Stegostoma tigrinum: one gene and its partner. The protein of the gene in region 2 purifies or fractionates together with the protein of the main gene of each other region. This does not show direct contact. Links are inferred from orthologs where the notes say so. Each region holds a gene or a part of one and is shown on either strand. Other genes may lie near its edges.

Evidence for each region.
Region 1: the proteins of microtubule cross-linking factor 1 (region 2) and mark2b purify together in Homo sapiens (affinity purification with mass spectrometry; 5 studies listed by BioGRID and IntAct, with this or other methods). This does not show direct contact. The link is inferred for Stegostoma tigrinum from reciprocal best matches to the Homo sapiens genes MTCL1 and MARK2.

The regions. Positions count from the first base shown.
Region 1 is NC_081395.1:2,405,061-2,412,996, reverse strand, and holds the start of mark2b (serine/threonine-protein kinase MARK2), read right to left. Parts: upstream 3,182-7,936; 5' UTR 3,049-3,181; exon of another isoform or gene 2,511-3,048; 5' UTR 2,504-2,510; coding exon 2,459-2,503; intron 1-2,458. Other genes in the region: dual specificity protein phosphatase 10-like, read left to right, coding at 3,182-3,507, 4,439-4,589. UniProt on the Homo sapiens protein: Serine/threonine-protein kinase. Involved in cell polarity and microtubule dynamics regulation. Phosphorylates CRTC2/TORC2, DCX, HDAC7, KIF13B, MAP2, MAP4 and RAB11FIP2. Phosphorylates the microtubule-associated protein MAPT/TAU.
Region 2 is NC_081358.1:113,967,496-113,974,864, reverse strand, and holds the start of microtubule cross-linking factor 1, read right to left. Parts: upstream 3,107-7,369; 5' UTR 2,808-3,106; coding exon 1,869-2,807; intron 1-1,868. UniProt on the Homo sapiens protein: Microtubule-associated factor involved in the late phase of epithelial polarization and microtubule dynamics regulation.

The DNA of each region.
Region 1 (7,936 bases), on a different chromosome or scaffold from region 2:
GAGTTAACATTTCGGGTCCAGTGACAGGTTCCGAGGAAGGGTTACCAGACCTGAAACATTATTCCTTCACAGATTCTGCCAGACCTGCTGAGGTTTGCCAGCAACTTTGTTTTTGGTCCTGATTTACAGCATCCGCAGTTCTTTTGGTTTTTATTGAGATATGGAGAACTTTTTTTTTGAAGCAAAAAGGTGCTGTAATCAGAAACATACTGCTCGAAAGAAGAGAAAGCAAATTCAAAAGGAACTTTCAAAAGAGGATTTGAAAAGGAAACCATGCAAGCTAATAGGAAAAGAAATCTATAGATATTTCAAACTGTCAGCAGTACGCAAAGGGCTGAATGGCCTCCTTGCATCATTGCGATTGGACTTTTTCTACACATCTTGTGTTCCACCAAAACCAGAGGGCTGTACAGGCCAGAATTTTGACGCTGCACCCGTAATACTGAGGGGAAAGTTTCATCTCTCCCAGCCTTTTGACCTAAGACCTCACAGGACAGATAGGGGACGTCACAAGGCACCTCCCTGAAGGGAGGCAACAATCTTCAATTTTTCTGACCAATATCTATCGCTCATTCAGCACCAAAGTCACAGGATCTGCTCATTCACCTCATTCCGAGAATCCTGTTGTGTATAGATCAAATACTGCAGTTCCAACATACAATACAGGCTACATTTCAAACAAAAGGCCCTGACTCGTTGTAAAACACTTGGGGGATGTCCTGACATTACCAAATATATTCTATAAATGCACTTTCTTCCTGCCAGTACAACTTTAAGTACATTTAAGTCATCATTGGACAAGAATATGGATGTACATGGAATAGTGTAGGTTAGATGGGCGTCAGATCGGTATGACAGGTCGGCACATCGAGGGCCGAAGGACCTGTACTGTGTTGTAATGTTCTATATATTTCCACAGATCTCTTCCCAAAACAGTTCAATTGACTGTTAGCAGTGAGGCTATAAAGTGAGGAATACACTTGTCATACACTGAGTATGGCTACTGAATATTATCCACCTGATGGGGAACCCATCTCTACCGTGACGTACAATAGAATATTTTAATTCTATTTGGAACTCGGTAACAAACAGTCTTATTTCAGTCAGTTCCAACCAGACATTATCAAACTCTGCCAGCTCTTCACCCCTGGTCTGGAAGATACACTGAATGAGAAAGCAGTAAACTACACAGGCCAGGAAGATCAGAGGTTCATTGTGCAATAGGCAATCAGCTACTGTCTGGGAGATGGGGAAAAACCAAGAAATCAGGGCAAATTCTGCAGTTTGCTTTTTTGTACTTACTTGCCAGTGCCATTAACTAGAGGAATAAAGAGTTATAGGGAGAGCAGTGGTGGATTTTGTTCAGACTGAAAAGGAAACCCAGGTACCTTTTCCTGGAGGACACACTGTACTAATTAATGCTGCCAAGGAAGAGAAATACCAAGCCAGGCTTGTCTGTTTTGTGTCTGCTTGTAGCATTCAAACTGCTTTCCCATCCCGAGAGACTAGCTCAGTAATAGATTCAACTGACCAAAATAAAACATGTAAACATAGTGCTTCCGGCTTGACCACATTCACCCGGATAGGGGAGCAGGGTACAACAACTTTCACTTATGACTCATAAAACATCAACGCTCTTTGTTTATTTTTTAAAATGCACTGAATTGTACAAGACAATGATTCTACATCATAAACTGTACAGAGATGCTGCTACCAACAGTAACAGAAAATACTTGGGAGACAATGCACACTTCCCATGAGTTCTCTCAGAATTCAACTGAAACTACGCAACACTCCCCCTTCTCCCAAGCCTTCAACCACAACACTCACTTGTCCACAAACCATCAAACAGTTTATGAGAGCAGTCATATTGGACGCAAAGCATTAACTCTATTCCACAGTTGCTGCCAGACCTGCTGAGTTCCTCAAGTGCTTTCCATTTTTACTTCAGATCTCAAAAACTATGCATGGTCCACACACATCAAGGTACACTTGAGGTTCCACACTCACGCCCAACTGCCCCCAAACCTGCTCACTCTCTCAGTTGAGGGGTGCCCAATTCAAGACAAAAAGGGGCAGAGAACTGAGGCACAAAATCCATCAATATTATTTACAAAGGACCAAACAACACCTTCAATGTCCCATGTTCAGCTGAATCAAACATACGAGGTGGAGGACACAGGAGGGAAGCAGAGACCCCCCTCCAAATACTTAATACACTCCCAGGAAATGATATCTAAAAGGTAATGACAGAAACAAGACAGTGGCAAAATAAAGTTACAGGGAAGGGGTAAACATGGGGTACACCCCCAATACAACAACATATACGACCTTACCCCAAAACCCAGTTGGTGACAGTAAAATTAAGTTAGTGAATATAAATCACAAAACCAACCAACTTCTAGAAAATACACTGGAGAGAGAGGTTAAATGATCAGTAAGGTGTGGAGGGACTTACCTGATCAGACTCATTGACTGGAGGCAATGGTGTTCTGGTGGTCATCTCTGGACTTTGAAAGGGAGCCCGCCCACACACACACACACACACAGAGGAAACAAAAACTTTTAAATTAAAATAAAAGGGAAGGAAATCTAGAGAATATTTGCAGCGAAGAGTGTCATCCAACTGCCCCTAAAACAAACTAGTTTAAACTGATCAGCAGCAGAATGGGGGAGGGGGGGGGGAGGGGGGTTAGGGTGCGAGGTAGGTGCTGACGGGGAAGAGACTCCAGCAGAAAAGAAATCGTATAGAGGTCATTAAAATTAACAAATAAAGTTAAAATAAAAGTTCCGGCTGGGTGTTTGGGGGGGGGGGGGTGTCCGTCCTCACATTTGCGGTGATCACCGGCGGAGCTGAGGCGCAGCCAGGCTTATTCTTCACTCAAGCCCCGAGGCTTCAGGGCCTCTAGGGGCCCGGGGTGGGGGCTCTCCGCAAAGTTGTGGGGTCAGGGGTTTCGGGGCGGCGGGGGCATAAAACACGAATAAACGCCCCGGGTATTTGTATTTTACTTTCACCCGCTTCTTTCCCTCCACTACCCTCCTCCTCACCCTCCTGCCCCGGTTATTGCTATTGACAACCCCCGCCTCTCTCTCCCTCTCGGTGTCCGGCGGCGCCCGGACTTTCGCCTCTGACGAGAAAGCCGGAACCCCACTCTCCCTCTCACTGCCCGAGCCCGGCAAGATGGCCGCTTCGGCAATCCTCGGCGATTCCGCCGTCTCCTCCTCCCCACGATTCCTTACTGCCCTGCACGTCCTAACCGCTCTCGGCGATTTCCGCCATCCCGTCCTTCCCAGGGAGGGAGGGGTGTGCGCGTTCGGGAATCTTCGGTCATTTCCGGAGAAATTCTACGTCAGACGCGGGCTCCCATTTCCGGGGAGCGCCTTCGGTGCTTCTCGGCACTTTTCGGAGCCCGAGCGCAGCTTTCGGCTTGTTCCGGAGATTATCGGTCTTTTCTGCCGTCGTGGGACCCGGAGCATGCCCTTCATGTCACTACTGAAGGGGAATTGGCAAGGGATGGAGGATGGAAAGAGGGTGGCGGGAACATACAAAAAGAAACAAAAGTGCAGTTAAATGAGGAGGAGGAGAATGGTGCAGTGAGCAGGACTGGAAGGGACCGGGGATGGAGCACTTGAGAGATGTGACCCTGCAAACCCATGGGGGATATCTTGGGGTGAGGATCAGATCATTATGAGGAGGAGGAGAATGGTGCAGTGAGCAGGACTGGAAGGGACCGGGGATGGAGCACTTGAGAGATGTGACCCTGCAAACCCATCGGGGATATCTTGGGGTGAGGATCAGATCATTATCTCCAGCCTTAGCAGTCCACTGCTATTATAGCTCAGTTTGTAACACAGAATGATGCCAACAATGTGGGTTCAATTCTTACACCGGTTTGAGGTTGCCATGAAGAATTCTCCTCCTTACTGTTTCCCTCTGGAGTGGCATGGTGGCTTAGTGGTTAGCACTGCTGCCTCACAGCACCAGGTATGCTGGTTTGATTCCACCCTTTGGTGACTGTCTGTGTGGAGTTTGCACATTCTCCCAGTGTATGTGTGAGTTTCCTCTGGGTGCTCCAGTTTCCTCCCACAGTCCAAAAATTTGCAAGTTAGGGTGGATTGACCATGTTAAATTGCCCATAGTGTGCAGGTTAGGTACATGGGAAATGTTGGGTTCTGGAGATTGGATGGGATGTTGTTTGGAGGGGTGCTGTGGCCCTGATGGCCTACTTCTGCACTGCAAGGTTTATAAAAGTTCACCAGCAGTTGTGTATCTCTCTGTCTGCAATGGGACAGCTGCTGAATGACTTCATCTTTCTTATCAGATTGAATAGACAGTTTGGTCTCCTCTTGGAACAGAATGAATCAGAAAAGCGTTTCAGGTCCTCAGATGTCCCTTACAGCCAATGAAGTACTTTTTGAAGTATGATCTCTTTTGTAGTGTAAGAAAACTGGCAGCAAATTTATGCACAGCAAGATCTCACAAATGGCAATCTGCCCATGGCCAGATCAACCGTTTTAATTACAGTATTAAAAAGTTGGATGTTGACTCCAGCTGCTTCATAAATGGCCTTGCCTCCACCCGGACAGAAGTAAGTATGTTCACTGATGATTTCACAAAATTCAACTTTCTTGACTCCTCAGAAACTGAAGCAATCCACATCCAAATGCAACTAGAACTGGACAATTTACAGTTGTTAATTGGCAAGTAATATTCATGCCACACAACTGCCAGGCAATGACCATCTTCAATAAGAGAGTATCAAACCATTCCCTCTTGACGTTCAATGTTATGACCATCTCTGTATCTCTTATTCTAAACATCCTGATCAGAATGAGCCCTATAAATACCATGGCTACAAGCGCTAGTAAGAAGCTACCAATCATGCAGAGTTGCTGGGTTAAAACCCACTCCCTGACAGCAATGCGGGTGTCCCACATCACAAGGACTGCAGTGGATCAAGAAGGCAACTCACCACCACCTTCTCAAGGGACAACTTGGGATGGACAATAAATCCTGGCCAGCCAGCAATGTCCACATCTTATGAATGAATTAATTAAAAGAATAGAATTTATAGAGGCAGAAGTAAACTGGGACCTAGTCCCTTCTGCAAGCAAAAGTCGAAAGCACATTGCCATTTGAGAATGGGTACTATATACAAATCAGCTAATTCTTTGGCGTACAATACAGCCAGGAGGGTAACCAGATAACTGCTTCATGGGTTGTGTCATGAGAAAAGGTTTATCTTTCAATATCAATCAATTTGTTAAGTGTCCTCATCATTGGCCGGGCTGAAATTGGTAACTTTTGACACTCAGCCGATCTCTCACTGCAATCAGGTAGGAGCTACTGTTCTCTGCTCTGAATGCTGTTTGCTGTTGTCTTTGAAGTCTGAATTTTTGAGGATGTGGTCTGTTTCAGGAAGGATCACCAGGGCCCACAGCATAACTGCAGGCCTAGAATGTGTCATCAGGGACAACTGAAATTTTACACAGGACAGTTATAAATATAGAATCTGTTATTCTTCTCACAAGTGGGAAATATTAAATGTTCGGCATTTATCTTTGTTTAAATCTTATGTGTACGCATACTATCCAGTACTCCAATTCTTTGTAACACTTTTTCATTCAAAATTGAGAATGGAACCCAGATATAAACTGTTGGATGTAGCAATGAAGTTGTTCACTTGGCGAATAAATGGCAAATTTCTAATTTGGCTGTTCTTAATCCCATCAACACCATGGGCTAAACAGTTATAAAATCAACAGAACTGGACACAGCCACATGCAATGTGCAAATAATGTGTTAAAGATTGATTCGAGTGCACTTGTAATGCAGTGGTAACGTCCCTATCTCTGAACAAGGAGTCACGCTGTATAGTTCAACTTGTCCATGCTGACCACATATTCCTAAATAAATCTAGTCCCATTTGCCAACATTGGCCCACTTCCCTTTAAACCCTTCCTATTCATTTACACATCCAGATGCCTTTTAAATGCTGTAACTGTACCAGACCCCATCACTTCCTCTGGCAGCTCGTTCCATACACACAACACCCTCCATGTGAAAAAGGGCCTCCTTAGGGCCCTTTTAAATCTTTCCCCTCTCACCTTAAATATATGCCCCTCTAGTTTTGGACTTACCTACCCTCGGCTATTTTACTCTATCCATGCCCCTCATGATTTTATATCATTTCTATAAGGTCACAGTCCCATCTGCTACAGAGGTCTGTAACAACATTGCTGAACAGCTTGATTAGAAGATAAAACTAAAAATTGATTTTAGTGTACTTGTAGTTCAATGCTATGTCTCTACCTCTGAGCCAAGGAGACCCAGGTTCAAGAGTCTGTAGGCGCGAGGCTGGAAAAGCACAGCTGGTCAGACAGCATCTAAGGAGGAGATAAGTCAATGTTTCAGACCAAAATCTTTCATCAGGACTGAGGAGGGGGAGGAGATCCCAGAAATGAAGGGAGGGTGATGATGCTGGGGGAAGGGTAGGATAGATTAGTGATAGGTGGATGCAGGTAGGGGGCTATTGTGATTGGTCCGTGGGAAAGGTGGAATGGATAGGTGAGTAGAAGATGGACAGGTTAGGTCAGGTCAGGAGGGGTAGAGCTGGATATGTGATATGGCTGGGAGAACTGAGTCTTCGTTTGGTCTCCCCAATAAAGGGGAGGCCACATCGGGTACAATGGATGCAATAGATAAGGTTGGATGAAGTGCAGGTGAATCCCTGCTGGATCTGGAAGGATTGTTTTGGACCTTGAATGGAGGTGAGAGGGGAGATGTGGGGGCAGGTGTTAATCTCCTGCAGCTGCAGGGAAAGGTACTGGGTGTGTTAGAGGAATTGGTGAGGTGTATAGAGCTGATGAGGGGATCACGGAATGAATGGTCCCTGTGGACAGAGGAGGGGAGGGAAATAACATTTTGGTGGTGGGGTCTGAATGTAGGTGGCGGAAATTTTGGAGGGTGATGCAATGGCCTTAACATTGACTTCACCAGCCAGAAAATCCCTCCAACCCCAGCCTCAGTCCCTATCCAGACCTCCACCTCCTGACCTGACCTAACCTGTCCACCTTCCTACTCACCAACTCTCCCCTTTCCCACAGACCAACCACAATACCCCACCACCTGCACCTACATATCACCATCTCTCCTACACTTCCTCCACTCCCACCGCCTCCCTCTACTTATTTCTGGGCTCCGCCTCCCAAGTCTGACCTGCTGCGCTTTTCCAGCCTCACCTTTAAACTGTGGCTTCCAGCATCTATAGTCCTTACTGTCTCCAAGACTCAGGTTCAAGTCCCATCTGCTCCAGAGGTGTGTAATAACATCATGGAACTGCTTAATTAGAAAGTATAAAATTGATTCTATACCTTCAAAGACTTTCCAGATTTCAAATAATCCACTGACGCACCATCAAGAAGGCCACAAATTTCACTCATTTGTGTCTCCAAATAAGATTTTATTTTTAACTCCAGTTACTTGACAAATATATGCCAAACCTTCATTAGTCATTGATCAGGTTGTAGCATGATGACTGTGTCAAATTGCAGGTTTAACATAGAAAGGATGGCCCACTCCCTGTAAACGCAGACCCACTCCCAGGGAGTCCTCCAGTAAATGCAAACCCTCTCCTAGGAAGCTTCCCAGTAAAAATCAGCCCAGTCCTGGGAATCTCCCTGGAAGTGTGATGTAGGGCAATGTACACTGTCTCAGTGTGATGTAGGGCAATGTACACTGTCTCAGCATGAGGTTAGGCTGTGTACGCTGTCTCAGTGTGAGGTGAGTTTGTATCTACGTACAACAAGAAATAATTGATTTTAGCTGATGATAAGGTGGGTGTAGGGAAGATTATTGTTCTTCTGGGATAATGCAGGATGAAGGGCAACTATTTAAAAATCAGCAATTGCCCATCTAAGGCAGAGATGAAGAGAA
Region 2 (7,369 bases):
GTATCCAACATCACCATCAACTGGAAGGACAAGGGCAAATGTTTCAATGGAAACACAGCCAGTCGCAATTCCCCTCCAAGCCAAAGACCATCTTGATTTCATAGAATCAAAACATGTTATGGTGTAGAACAGGCTATTTAGCCAATCATCTCTGCACTAGCTCTTCAAAGGAGCATCATTACTTGGTATGCTAATAAACATAACACAGCATGGAGCTGCAGGAGCACAGCAGGCCAGGCAGCATCAAAGGAGCAGGTGAGGACCCTTCTTCAGAAATGGGAGAAGGGAAGAGGGCTCTGAAATAAATAGAGAGGGGGGTTTTGGGCTGGGAAAGGTAGGTGGGATGGTCACTGCAGGTAGGTAGTAGTGGGGATTGTTAAGTGAGGTGGGAGTTGCAGATCGGTAGGAGAGAAAATGGACAGGTTGAGTCAGGTCAAGGAGCGGGGCGGGGGGTAGGGTGGTGAAGAAATGAAGAAGGGTCTAGGCCCGAAACGTCAGCCTTTCCTGCTCCTATGATGCTGCTTGGCCTGCTGTGTTCATCCAGCCCTTGTTATCTGAGCTTTTCCAATAACTTTGTTTTTGTTGCACCGTTTGCAACATGCACACATTGGGTGTCCCCATTAGGATGAGGGTCTGCGCGTATGTGTGTGCCTCACCATTCATTCCAACATTCAAAAAATGCTCATTATGTAAAACTACCTCCAACTGCTTTTTTTTGCTCAAGGCCCTCCTTCAGAGAGAAAAAAACCACCCAAAATGCTTATTATTTATCCGCCCGGCAACCGCTATCTTTTAAGAAGCGAGTCAGAAAAGTGGTTATCCAACCAGAGCTCTGTGACGCTCTCTTCACAGCCAGCCCTCAATCCGCCAGACATCTCCCGTTGGCTCATTTCGAATCTGTGTGAATGTGACAGGATAAATGGTTCTCTTTGAAACCAGACCCCGCAGCGTTAAAAATAAACAGAAGCGCCGAGTGGAGGGGCAGAGCGAAGCACACTACTCATGAACTCTATTTCTCACCGAACTGTATTCTCAGCAGATTAAAACAAAACACTTTGCCCCCCCCCCCGACAAATATTTTACAGCCTGCAAGCAACGCTCCGACATTATTGTAAAATAATGAAGAGGATTCCGTTCTAATCAAACTGAGGACGGAGAGATCCCAAATGAATGGGTCTTCTGAACAAAATAAGATGTGTACCGTATGTATCATTAAAAACGGCACCAAATTTAAACTTGCAATTGGCGATCATATATGAGGGAATCTTCAACTAAAGCGGACCAAATTTAAGATTGAGATCATTTATCATAATTTTTTCTTTAAAAAAGGACGAAATTTAAAACTGTAATTGGGCATCGTATACGAGGGAAGAATATTCAATTTAAAAAGGGAGTAAATTTAAGATCATGATTGGCAGATCGTACGTCTTCGTTTGGAAAGGGACGAGATTTAAAACTACTGTCGTTGAGGATCATACATCTTAAAAATAATTAGCGGACTAAGCTCAAAATCAGGAACAAAAACAAAGCTGCTGGAAAAGCTCAGCGGGTCTGGCAGCTTCTGTGAAGGGGAAAACAGAGCTGAGATTTCGGGTCTGTTGACCCTTCCTCAGAACTCCAGATCATGTTCAAGTCGAAGTGGGGAAATCATGAAGGGGACGGTTAGTGGTAACACTGAAGGAACTAAAAGGCAAAACGCAATCATATAAAATAAACATATCAAATAATCTTAGTGACACCGGAGAGATAAATGCAATAATCAAATGTTATAAATGGGAGGGTTTTGGTGGTAAGAAATGATGTAGGAGAGAGGAGACACAGAAAGGTAATGTTAGCGGCAGTGAGCACTGTCACTATCTCTGTCTCACCTTAAGATAGTCGTTTTCCGAGCGGAGCTCCTCAATCTCTCTGAGCAGCTCCTGGTGCAGCGACCTCCCAGCGCTTTCCTGAGTCTCAGCGGCCGGGCCGGAGAGCTTACCAGCCCGCGGCTCTTGCCTGGCTTGGGCGGCCCTGGGCCCGTGTTCCCCGTCAGTGCCATTGCCGCCTTTACCCGGGGACGGGCGCTGCTGCTGCTCGGGGGTAAGCGGCGCTCCGGCGGCTGCCTGCTGCTGGCTCTCTCGGCATCTCCTCCCGTTCTCGGCGTCGCTGGAGCCGGTACCGGACTCGGCGTCGCTGGTGGTGGCCAGCTCCCCGGGGGCCGGCCGCTGCTCGTCGGACAGAGGCTCGGAAGCGCAGTCGGACAGATCGGAGCTGCTGTCGGTGTGGCTGGTCTTGGCGAGGGGAGACGGGGCCGGAGCCTGGGTCGCTGTCGTTGGTGACAGCCCGGGGCTGGGCTCGATCAGGAGGCATTTCTTGACTTTTCTGAGCTGGTGCTGTGGCTCCTGATGGTGGTGTCTGCCTTTCTCCTGGTGTCCCTTGGAGTTGGAAAGCCTCTTGGCTAAGTGGGGGGCGGACAGAGGAGACTTGGCAGAGGGGACACCCGCTTTCCCCCCGGCCGAGGCTTTGTCCTTAGTGCCCCCCAGGACTCCGCTCCTCCGGGTGAGTCGGCTGTGAGCAGCCAACTGCAGCCCGGGGACCTGTTGCTGATGTGGGGGCTGCAGCTGAGGTTTGGAGAGAGGAAGGGTCGGGGACGAAGGCGGCGGCAAAACCCCGGGTTTGGGAGGCAGGCAGAGCTTAGCAGCGGAGGACGCTCGGCAGTGAAGATCCTTCAGGGGTCTGGCCGGGGAAGGAGCTCTATTCAACCGCTTCTTCTCCACGCACTGCTGCTGTTGCTGCCGGATCTCAGGGCTCCCATTGACCGTCTCCATCCCCTCTTAAGATCCTGCAGTCTCCGCCGAGCAGCCTTGCAAAAACACACCGGCTACCCCTCTCTCCCTTTCTGTGGGCATCACTCCTCCTTCAGTTATTGTGATTCTCACCCCCACCTCCCCTCTCAAGCCCGGATCCAATTGTATTTAAAACCCGGCACACACCAGCCCAGAAATTTGCAAATGGAAATGAATGGCCATTTCCTTGCCCTCTCTATTTCCCCCGATCCTGGTGCCTAATGTAGCGAAATCTCTCCCTTTCTCTGCTTATGGGTTTAGGTTTCCTCCATAGCTGGCTTTCCCCCTCTCCCCCCTTTTCCTTCCTCCTCCCCGCCCCCCCGTCTCTCTCTGCTCCCGACCTGATTAAGACGGAGAGAGAGAAAAAAATAAAAAAAAGCTGCAGCCTCGCCTGACGGCAGTAGCTGAACGCATGCGTGTCTATCCAAGCCAGACCCCTCTGTGTAAAGCGGGTATCAGCAGCCAGATCTGATGTAGTAAACACAGGCAGCAGTTTTGCATCGCTGTGCGTGCGTTTAAATCCAAGGAACAAACCGCTTGCTGTTTATATGCGTGAAACTGAATCTTGAATATTTTGTTTGTTGCAGGAGAGCCGTCTATGGTTTGTTTTGATAAGAGCCATCATTAAGGGCAGCCAATCATTCCAGGATTAATTAAAATTGATCTGCAAGCCACTTGCAATTCAGGAGAGAGAGAGAAAAAAAATCACATTTTAAAGAAATAATTTTTAACACATTTTTTGAACGCCCTCCCTTTTACCCTGGGCAATTTAAATCCCTCAGTTACGGTCACAATGACAGGTTCTCTGCGCGAGTTTGTTCTCTGCAAACTCACATCCTGGGTTCCCACGTTGTATTGGTTACTGCTCTCCAAAAATACTTTGTTGGACACCAATGAGTTGCCAGTGGTCGTGAATTAGCCCTATGTAGATGCATAAGACCACGGCAGAAGTAAGCCATTCAGCCCATCGAGTACATTCCGCTATACGCTGAGATCACGGTTGATCTGGAAATCCTCAACTCCATTTTCCTGCCTTTTATCCCATAACCCCCGATTCCTGCACTGAATTTTTTAAAAAAGGGTTTCTGAGACTTGAGCATACCTAATCTCGACCTTGGATACACTTCAGTTCTTTATATAAAGCAGGAAATTATACAATGCCCCAAGAATACCCACAACAAGAGTCTGCAACTGTAACCATGTGATGGGGTACATTTGATGGCTCCTGACAATAGCCAGGGGACCATGATGAATGATTAAACCACACCCTTTCAAAGTGAGGCAGGCAGTATCATGCTATCCAATAATTACCAGGCTTGCAATGTTCAGACAGGCGGAATCCTTTCATTCTCCTGCTGATGAGCTTCTCAACACGTAGGGTAGAGTTCACACACAGTGCCTGCAAAGTGACCTGCGTGCAAAGACAGTCTGAAGGGAGGTGTATGGTTGTTGTCGAGGTTCATGCCCACAGTTCCATAATGCAAAGCTCTTGTGCTGTCCATGCTGTTCCCAGGTCACACATCGTGACAATCATCCATTGTGCCCCGAGGATCATCAACTCCGCGAAAAATGCTCTTTGATCTGCCTAAAACTTGCTGATTTTCTGGAGCAAACACTCATCCTCAAATGAGTGCTGCAGACTGATCTAAGGATCTAGCACCAGTCGTTAGCACTGCTGCCTCACATTGCCAGGGACCTGGGCTGCACTCTACCCTCAGGTAACTGTCTGTGTGAAGTTTGTACATTCTCCCCGTGTCTGTGTGGGTTTCTGCTGGGTGCTCCAATTTCCTCTCACAGTCCAAAGATGCGCAGTTTAGGTAGATTGGCTGTGCTAAATTGCCCATAGTGTCCAAGGATACGTGAGTTAGATGGTTTAGCCATGGGAACTGCAGGGTTATGGGACAAGAATGGGTGGGATTGGCAGTATGGGCTTGGTGGTCTGAATGGCCTGCTCCCACACTGTAGGGATACAATGAGCACTAAAGCTTTTGGCAGCTGCAAGAGAGGTGCAATGGGGAAAGGTCCACATTACCTATACGTTTCAGCCATGGTACCTAGAGCAGCTAAAAACTGTAAAATCCCTCAGGCTGCGTGCCTTATAAGGAATATAAATTGAATATCAAAGGTACCAATACAACCTCAGGTCCAAGAATAGGCATCTCTAAAGTTAAATAAGCAACAGACAGAGTTTGATCAACCTTCCTATATTTACTGACTGTTGAAAAGCAGTTCCTCCATCCTCAAGCAACTGTCTCCATAACAACTTCAGGATCTTCTTATTCTACAAGTCTCTTGGAAAAGTCAAATGTTTAAGCCTTCTTTGTAAACACATCTGGCCATAATACAACAAAAAAACTAGCAAGCTCTAACTCACTTAAATTTGAAACCAAGTCTCTGCATTTTTAATCCTTAAGATGGCCCATAATGGAGAGTTGGGTGCTTGCTTTTAATCTGCATGGACTCAATGGGCTGAAGGGTCTTTTTCTACACTTCAATGTTTCTGTAAATATTACATTACTGCTTAACTGAATCTTAAGTACCATTGTGGGATTTGCACTGGGGTCCCAGTCAGGGCTGTGGATTACTAGAAATGTGACATTACCACATTGTCACACCCAAGTACTTTTAAAATGATCGGAGATAATGGGAACTGCAGATGCTGGAGAATCCAAGATAACAAAGTGTGTGGCTGGATGAACACAGCAGGCCAAGCAGCATCTTAAGATGCTGCTTGGCCTGCTGTGTTCATCCAGCCCCACACTTTGTAATCTTACTTTTAAAGTGAGATTACTATTGTAGTGTAGGAAACACAACAGACAGTCTGAACACTGCAATTTCCTGCAAAGACCAATGTGGTAATAAACATATTTGTAAAATATTTGTTCCGGGGCTGTAAGCACAACAATAAATGCACTCGTTCTGAGTAACTTGCTCGGCTATTTCAGAGGGCAGTTAAGAGTCAGCCACATTGCTGTGGGTCTGAAGTCACATGTAAGCCAGACTAGGTAAGGACAGTAGATTTTCTTCCCCAAGACATGTCAGTGAGCCAGGTGGGTTTTTGTGAAAATTGGCAAATGCTACAAGGTTGCCATTATATAAGCTATTTTTGATTCCAAAATATTTAAAATTGAGGTCAAATTTAAACATCTGCCAACGCAGGCTTCAAACCGATATCTACAGAACATTAGTCTGGGACTGTGGATAACCAGTCCACTGCCAATGTTGGTTGAGGGATAAATATTGGCCAAAACACTGGGAAGCACTTCCTAGCTCTTCTTCAAAATAGCAGGACCATGTTGAGGACACCCAGAAGACCAGGAAGACAAAACCTTCATTTCAACCTCTTGTCCAAAAGGCAGCATCTATAACACTCCCTCAATATTCCCTGCTGCTACGATCATTGTTCAACAGATGAAACCACAGCCTGTACCTATCCAAATTCCATGCCAGAGTTTTCAAGGTTTGTAATCTTTGTTTCTGGGACATGGTGCAGTCAACTTTATTTGTGGTTTACACTCAAAATGTCAAAACCAGACTAAATAGCTGCAAAACCCAACAGGAACTTGATATGGAGATCTAGGAGCATGTGCAGCTGAAAGATGAGGGCGCAGAATTATCTAGGTAATGTCCTCAAGTTAGGTTTTTTTAAAAGTTAATTTATTAAATTCTGCTTTGGATTTGGTGACATTTGACAATTGTGGCTCAGCTAACAGATCTCCATGCAAAGCAGATTTAGAACTCTAAGAATCTAAAACAATTTTATTTTTACACTTGTGCATATTTATACACTGATTGTAAATTGCAATGCAATGGAAAATCACATCTTAGCTGTCTGCTTTCCAATATAAACACTCAATATATTTTGAGGCCCTTTGTGTCCTTTTAGGGTCATCGTCTGAACTCCTGGAAGAAATTCACGCTGCAGTGAAATTCGCTTGTATATGCATTAAGTGTCACTTGAATACATACAAATTTCCTTTTGCTGAGTAATGGCCATTGTTGTGCTACTGCTTCATTATTAGAACAACCGTATGATTTAATTTTGTATTCATAACAAAATTAATGTTGCAAAATTTCATAATAGACTAGCATTAAATGCATGGCCAGAACAAAATTTCACAATGGACCTCCGTAGATACTTTAAATAAATAGCATACGGGGCAGGGGAGAGCAAAGTGGAGTGATATAGCTGCTGTTAAAGGTTTAGCTCACCATTGAAAAGGAGGTTGTGGTGATAAAAGGACACTGAACTAATTGTTCAAGATGGCCCAGCAGAAAAATGTGTAAAACACAAGTCCTAAGACTTAACCTGGATATACATCATGATGTTTAGCTCATCAGGTAATACATGAACATTAAATTGTGTGAAAACCATTCCTACACATTATTGCAATGGGGTTGATCTGTAAAATCCTAATGTGACACCAAGTGTGATCTCATATACCCAAGAGATTCTTTCCACGTTGGCCTTCTGTCCAATTGATAGCTCCTTCCACTGGAAGTTACAGCACTGGTTGTGGGTATCATGGAGGTTTTATCGTGCA